2 linked regions of the Mus musculus genome follow. The protein of the gene in region 1 interacts with the protein of each later gene in a pairwise test. Links are inferred from orthologs where the notes say so. Each region holds a gene or a part of one and is shown on either strand. Other genes may lie near its edges.

What was found.
Region 2: the proteins of Eea1 (region 1) and Rab5b interact in binary tests that used the Homo sapiens proteins (3 or more experiments, as listed by UniProt). The link is inferred for Mus musculus from reciprocal best matches to the Homo sapiens genes EEA1 and RAB5B.

Annotation. Positions count from the first base shown.
Region 1 is NC_000076.6:96,024,055-96,027,871, reverse strand, and holds part of Eea1 (early endosome antigen 1), read right to left. Parts: intron 1,841-3,817; coding exon 1,701-1,840; intron 1,316-1,700; coding exon 985-1,315; intron 821-984; coding exon 719-820; intron 1-718. UniProt on the Homo sapiens protein: Binds phospholipid vesicles containing phosphatidylinositol 3-phosphate and participates in endosomal trafficking.
Region 2 is NC_000076.6:128,693,309-128,697,859, reverse strand, and holds the start of Rab5b (ras-related protein Rab-5B), read left to right. Parts: upstream 1-1,591; 5' UTR 1,592-1,674; exon of another isoform or gene 1,675-1,972; intron 1,973-4,551. UniProt on the Homo sapiens protein: The small GTPases Rab are key regulators of intracellular membrane trafficking, from the formation of transport vesicles to their fusion with membranes.

The sequences.
Region 1 (3,817 bases):
ACTTCCTTCCCGATCTGTCTTTGGTCAATGTTTTATCACATAAATCAAAAGAAAACTCGGCAAATACACGAAACAAGTCATGTTTAAGATGCTGTTATTTTTTCAATTATAATGTCCTTTAACCCTATCTAATCAAAACTCTTACAGTTAGCTGATTCAGTTTTCTCTTTTTCTTAACTATATTTTTCTTTATTTGGCCCTTACATTTTAAATGATTGTTAGTGATAACCAGAACACAAATAACAATTTAAAAATAAACACATGAACCATTTTACTTAATAGAAATAAATGTTCTCCTTTTTTTAAAAGATTTATTTATCTATCTATCTATTTATTTATTTATTTATTTATTTATTTATTTATTTATTTATTTATTATATGTAAGTACACTGTAGCTGTCTTCAGACACTCTAAAAGAAGGACTCAGATCTCATTACGGGTGGCTGTGAGCCACCATGTGGTTGCTGGAATTTAAACTCAGGGCCTTAGGAAGAGAGCAGTCAGTGCTCTTAACTGCTAAGCCATCTCTCCGGCCCCATGTTCTCTTGATTTCTGTATCGAGGTGAGAAAAATTTGAAACTACAAAAGCTCATTATATTTTACATATTTGTAGTAAAATAACACTGTACCTCTTTCTCTTATATTCTACATATTTATAGTAAAACAATGTGTACCTCTTTTATTATATTCTACATGCTTATAGTAAAATAGCACGTACCTCTTTCTCTTTCTCGAGTGACTTTTTCAGGTCCTCCTGCTCCTTCAGGGCACTCTCTGCCTGTACTTGAAGCTGATGCTTTAATTCTTTACAAGCTTTTTCCTAATAAAGAAACATCACACTGAAAACATCTGCAATGACTTACAAGTGATTTATCGGTTTAAAAGAAAAACAGAATGAACTAAACCAACCCCTACACACATGCCAGTTATGGCATTTAAATAAGATAATGACTTCTACCTGAGAAAAGAAATGTAACAACTAACCAAATCTAATACAGCAGCTTTTCCTTTCTGATTTTCTTTCTCAAATTCACTTTTGGAGTTTTTTAAAGAATCCGAAACTTTTGACAGTTTTTCTTTTGTTGTAGAAAGCTCGGCCAGGAGTGCGTCCTTCTGTGCCTTCACTGCTGTCAGCTCTGTGACCGCAGCTTGCATCCTGTCCCCCAGCTCCTTGTGCTGTGTCTTTGAATCTTGACTTAACTTTTCAAATTCTTGTTTCAAGACGACATTTTCTTCTTCTTTCTTGGTGAGGGTTTGTTTGATATTTTCAAGGATTTCAGATTTATTCTGTAGATCCAGTTTTGTACAAGATACTCTGGATTAAAAAAGAATTTTAAAAATTAATGTAATATAAAATTTATCAACCAAAATTATTTATAAGTGATTACTGAGTCTTGAATTTTTAATATGGTTCAGAAGAAAAAGTAAAATAATTTTAAAAACACTGAAATTTGCCTTAAGACATCTCATTAGATGCACGCGGTCTCCTCAGGAAGGGCCAAGTTAGTGACATTTCCTAACTTAATCAAGTCTGGACCACCACCATTTACTCATCAGAGAAATTCAGGTAACAAATCCTAGAGGGTCTACAACAACGCGCGCACACACACACACACTGAAACAAAACCACACTTGGTGACTCTCTAAAGTCGGTGTGAACAACCAACACCTTAGGGATGTACAGTGGGAGGCCAGCTTACACTTCCTCCTGCTCCTGGAGCTCTCTACTCAGCTCTGCATTTCTCAACTCCAGGTCTGTGCTCAGCTGCCTCTGCTGCTGTAGACTCTGCAAAGCCTGTTCCTTGCTGGCTTTAACTTCAAGAGCATCAGCTTCTAGTTTCTGTGGGTGAAGTACAGCATTCATTTGAATTTTGACAATGCCTAATGATTATTATAACATTTGGTCTGCATACAAATTGTTAGTGACAATATACAAAATAGCTATAATGCATTTATAGAAATCCATTCTGAAACCACCACTGAATGAGAAAATGGTTCTAATTAGGGTCTGTCAGATAATCTAGAATGGGCTTTTTACATAAATCAGTGGTTATTTTTAAAATTAATTATAAGAGAATCAATTTAAACATAAATATTAAAAATGCAAATGTTTGTCAATTTAAGTTAGAAAAACAAAACTAAGTAACAGGTTATTCCCATATCCACTTAAGATATATTATCTATGTATATGCAGTTAACAACTACAAAAATAACAAGATATTTAAAATAAAATTGAATGGATTTGTCATGTACTCCTCAAACTTATACCTACTGATCTTAAATATACAACACTTAAAATTCCTGACTTTGCTTATTAAGTGTTTTTGTTAATTATATCACTGTTGTTTATACTGTACCAGGCATCTCATACATATTATATGTCTGATTTTTTAAATTTATAAAATCAAGCTACTATATATAGTTTTAGATAGAAGCAATGTGCTTTCATTTCATCAGTGTGTGTGTGTGTGTGTGTGTGTGTGTGTTCTCATGTGTGTGCCTTTGGGGAGTGTCTACAGGTGGAGGACAAATACCAAAATTGAGTGTCTTTCTCAATCTCTCCATTTTCTTTTTCTAAGATAGGGCCTGTCACTGAAGCCCGCTTGGAGATCCAGATAGGCTGGCCAAACGTGAAGTTCCAGGGATCTTCCTTTCTCTGCGTGCCCAGCACAAACACCACAGGCCCTTTCCATCATGCCTGACATCTTATGTGGGTACCAAGTATCCAAGCTGGGGTCCTCCTGCTTACACGGCGGGGCTTTACTGACTGAGAAATCTCCCGAGACCTCAGTTAAGTATTTTTAAAATGAACCCCCAAAACATAGACATTATACATGCCAGTGGGGTACCTATAGTGTTATGCTTAAATCAAGTTAGACATATCTCATTTACCTTTGCTCTGTGCTAAAAACTTTCAAAGACTCATTTTCGTACCTTTTTGAAATGTATAGAATAAGGTGTTATCTATAATCTAGTACTGTGCAACAGCACCCCAGAGATTCTTGCTCTGATTACAACTATTTCAGAAAGGGGCCCAAGTAAGACTTATCTCTGTTTACTCTGTTTTCTGTAACATATTATCACCTATTCTTTTGAACCAGATCTAATCTGTCATTACTACTGCTGTTGGCATTTTAAAAGAACCACCCATAAATAGAATTGTAAAAGCCATTCTTTTATATTATACTGGTGTAGATGCCCATATAGAACACTCATCTCATAATTCTATAATCATACAGCTTGCATCAACTGATCATGGAAGTATAATAAACCTAAGGGTTTTTGTTGTTTAACTGTTAGTATTTCCAGAACAAAATTAAAGTTTCCCTGATCTGTCCAATTATTTCACCTTTTAGTAAACCAGCACCGCACTTAGAATTATCTTAAAGAAAGGCTGAGCTTATGATTGTCAAAAATGCATTACTAAATTAGACGCAAAGTCCAAAGGATATGGAAAGTTTTAAAAAGAATAAACACCACACCATAGAAGAAATGTTAGATTAGAATAATATGTAGGGAAATGGAAAAATCAAAGGGGAGAAGACATTCTATAACAAGACTTATACTGTTTGGTGTCTCCTGGGATACAATTTCCCTTTACAATAAACTAGCACTATGTTAATTTTTACTTATAAAAGCCACCCATTAATGAAGGAATTGAAAACAAAGATGGAAATATATTAATTGATAAAGTAATTTTTACATTTTTTACCCTTTTGTCTTTCTCTTTTACTTAACAATCTTTGAATCTGTAAAGGCCATCAAACCCCAAAGCTGTTGAGTGGAAAATACGACAAATCCGACTGGTTTTACACAA
Region 2 (4,551 bases), about 33 Mb from region 1:
AAGCAGTATGTGTCCACCTAATCTCTGTACATGCAGGCCCTCCTGCCATGCTCTTTAGTGGGGTGTTTGTAAGGATGGAGAAACTGAAGAGCTTCCTTCCAACTTTCCCCTACTCACACAGGCACACCAATACAGAACACTGTTTCAATTCCTTCTTTTAGCAGCAACTTGAGTGGGCTTCAGGGGCCTTTGTCTCAACCCTCCATTTCCCAGGAAGTGTTCACCATTTTGTGTAGAGTTTTGTTTGTTTGGTCTGGTTTTGAAATTGTGTGTGCATGTGAGCCACAAGTGCCCGCAGAGGCCAGAAGAGGGCATATCATCTCTCCTAGAGTTACAGGCAGCTGTGAGCAGTGGTACTGGGAACAGGCCTTGGGTCTTCTACCGGAAGTGTATGCTTCTCTAGCTTGCCTCTAGGCCCTAGGTTCAATCCTCAGTACCGAAAAAAAAAAAAAATCCTCAGCAAAGTTGTCTAAATGTTTTTTCACATTTACAAACAATTCAGAAAATATCAATGTGAAAATATTTAGGAGGCTAAAGTGTCTTCAGACTACCACTTTCTGTTGTCATGGCAATTCACCCCAAAACTACTGTTCTCTAGTGCGCCACTAAAAAGAATTTACAAGATAAAAGTTGTTTAATTTCCTGGTTTTGGGTCTTTACTTTTTTTTTTTTTTTTTTTTTTTTTTTTTTTTTTTGGTTTTTCGAGACAGGGTTTCTCTGTGTAGCCCTGGCTGTCTTGGAACTCACTTTGTAGACCAGACTGGCCAGACTCAGAAATCCGCCTTGCCTCTGCCTTCCCAGTGCTGGGATTAAAGGCGTGCACCACCATGCCCAGCAGGGTCTTTACTTTCTTAATTTGACACAGAAAGCAGGGCACGGGGAGAAGAGAAGGTTAATGCTGGTATCATTGTTTTTTGTTTTTGTTTTTTTGGGGGGGGGACATCGTTGTGTAGCTTGGAACTCATGGAGATCCTCCCGATTGCTAGGATTAAACATGTGGGCCACCAAGCCCAGTTTACTCCCCTCCCCATCCCCCTTATACTGAGGTCTTGTTAAACTGAGTATCCCGGGTTAGCCTCAAACTCAGAACTGCCTCCACCCCAATCCACTGTGCTGAGATTGGGAGTGCCACACCACACCCGACCAAAAGCCTTCTTCACTTCTTCACTAGCCTTGCCTGCCTGTCAAATTCGGAAATTTCCCAATACTGGTTAAAATTTCCTTTTGACCCGCCTTCTTCACTCACCTGATTAGATGTTTACGAGTCGAGAGGCGGGGGAGGGGTGTCACGGGTGTTGAGGTTCTATTGGCTGACGCACATGCCTGTCAGTGATGCACTGCCCCCTTTCCCAGGAGCTCTCTCTTTAATGGCTACTTATCCCGTCAATCTTCAAGGCTTCTCGTGTAGGTATTGGCTTGCGGCCTCGCCAATCCAGTCTCTCACTTGTGCTAGTTGGTGATAGTCCCTCAGAGCCCGCCTTTCTCCAGAAGATTGGCGGGCGGACGCTCACATAGCCCACCCACCACGGTAGGCGGGTGATCTTGCGATTGGCTGGAGCCGCCCCGGCGAGGAGGAGGAGGAGGAGGAGGCGAAGGGGGTAGGAGTTTGGTTGAGCTGCAGCTGTTTGTCTGTTCCACACAGGCTTGGGCCCGACGGGGGATACGGAGCCCCAGGTACCGAGCTGATGGAGCCCACAAGGGCAGAGGCGGAGGTCCCGAGAGGAGCGCCGCCTGGCCTGTGGCAGAGGCGGGGCGGGCCGACGTCAGGGCTCCAGAACCTCCTGGAGAGGGCCGAAGGGGCTGTCCCACAGGCCTAGTGGGCGCTGAGGAGGTGATCGGCAGGGCTGGGAGCCGAGCCTCTAGTTGGGAGGCGGCTGGGTTCTGGCTGTGGTGGCCGCTCGGGGGCCGGGCGCGGGGACCCGGAGCCGGTGAGGACCAGGGCCGGCCTCGGGACTCTGAGCACCGCGGTGAGGAGGGAGGAGCTGGGGTCGGAGACCAGGCAGTGAGGGAGGGGAAGCCAGCCCATTTGGCTGGAGGTGTGGAGGGGACAGTGCTACGCCCAGCCCCGAGGGTAGCCGAGGCTGGGTCTCCCGAGACATCCACTGTTGGGGCTCTTAGCCGAGAGAGGCATTCTTTTCAGGGAAAGTGACTGTTGAAAGGGGAACTAGGGGTACTGGTGTTGCCGAGAGGGATTTGGTCTCACTGAAGTCAATGAAGAATGTAGAAGACCAAAGTGGAAGGAAGTAGAAACGGTTTGCTATTAGTAATGGGAACTTCTGGAATGATGGTGAGGGGAGGCTCAGTATCTTGGAAGTTCCTTACTCTTCTGTTCCTTTAGTGCTTGGGTGTGGTGATTTGAAGTTTTGGGGTACTTCAGGAATAGGGAATGAAGACAAAGGTAAAATTATGTATTATTCCATGGCGCCTGGCAGCTCTACGTCCAGCCCCCCCCCCCCACACACACACACCACTTTAGTTTACCCTGACCTCATAGCTAGTCATGACTGCACTCCTGTTTCCTTTAGGTTTGCTATTGTATTCGTTGTTTTTCCTATTTCATCTACTGTGAGAGAACTAAGAAAATTTGGGAGTGCTTTGCTCAGTCTTTCCCACTTCATAATGTGATCTGTGGTGACTACGCTTATTTAACCTAGATTTGAGGAACTCTGTCATTTGCATGGAAAGGGGCAAAGCAATCCCCAGCCATTAAAAAAAAAAAAAAAAAAAAAAAAGGACCATGTTTATTGAAACTTCTGTGAGACTTGCACTTGAGCATTTCCTAGATAGTTAATGGGACAGACTATTCACGCCAGGAACTGTGAGGTGATATCCCTGAAGGGATTTGGGGAAGAATTGAGAGGTTAGCTACCAGAAGGTTGGCACCATCCTTTCTTCTTTGCCCACTTATTCAGGAACGTGTGTGTGTGTGTGTGTGTGTGTGAGATTAGTTATTTAGGTCAAACCTTGAGGTATTTAGAAAGATGGATTATAGAGAATGAAGAAGTCTTTAAATTATATTATATGTAATAACCTGCATACATATGTGAGCCACAATGTCAGAGGATAACTTGTGGCTGTTTGGTATTCAAACATGGCATGTGTGTGTGTGTGTGTATGTATGCATACATATATACACACACACACACATATAGAGGGAGGGGTTTGCTAACCTGTCAAATTTTTTATAGATTGGACCCTATTGGTTTCTCCCTTAGGGTTCTACCTCCTCTTCCTCCTCCTCTTTCCTTTCTATACTAATGTTAGTGATCACTGAATTTATTTATTTTTTTTACCACATAGTGTCCTGCATATATACCACATGCATGCAGGACCCCTCAGAGGTCAGAAAAGGTACTAGACCCGCTGGACAATTAGGAGCTGCCGTGTTGGTGCTGGAAACTGAACACAGGTCTCTTACAAGAGCACTAAGGGCCGCCAAGCCATCTCCATAACTTGTATCACTACATTTCTTAATTATCAAAGTAACACATACATATATTAAAGTGTTTAAGCTGTACAGAAATATATAAAATCTGAGTCCTTCTATACATAGCTTATTTCATTTAGGACAGTTAGAGGTATTAAATAAGACTAATCAAGAGCAGAATACTATGGAAAGAATGAGACCATCATTTAGTGAGCACATGAAAAAAACCCAAGCAAAGACAGGTTTTTTTCATGTGCTCCTAAATGCTGTTCTCATTCTCTCCACGACATTCTCTTGGATGACACTCTGCTATTTATTGTGTTCCCTTTGCCGTTCATCTTGCCTTCTATCAAATTCAGAACAAACATAGAGCTGTCCTTTGAGTTATCATTTGCCTTCTTCAGTGTATACACATAGTGGTGCACTGGGTAGTCTAGAAACCGCCCAAATGCATAATAAGCAAGACTTTTATAGGCAAGAAAGAAACAATAAGGGGAATAATTTTGTTTAGGATAGTTGTTAGCATCTCTACTAGAGTGAAGAATCAGAAACCCCTCGTTCATCCACATTTTCACAGTACTTGACTGTCTCTTCCTTATCTCAGGGAGATGGTCATGGTTCCAGAAGAGGGTCTTGTACCTGGCTTGGTATAGTGACCCAAGAAGTTCCCATATTTCTCTGAATTTGAACTTGGACTTTTTTGACTTTTTGAAGCCCTCTAATATGGTCATTGCACGGTGTCCAGCAAAAACCTCAGTTTACCCCTCCTCCCACTTTCTCACCTACACAGTCAGTCCTGGAGAAAACTATTGGGATGTGTGTATGTGTGTTCACCCTCTGTAATCTTTGCCATCCTTTTGTTTTGTTTTGTTTTGTTTTGTTTTTCGAGACAGGGTTTCTCTGTATAGTCCTGACTGTCCTGGAACTCACTTTGTAGACCAGCCTGGCCTCTAACTCAGAAATCCACCTGCCTCTGCCTCCCAAGTGCTGGGACTAAGGCATGCGCCACCACGCCCGGCTGAGGTTTTTTTTGTTTGTTTGTTTGTTTGTTTTGGTTTTATTTTGTTTTGCTTTTCCTATCTTCTCCTTAAAACCTTTCAAGAAGTGATCTGGAAGCTGGGCAT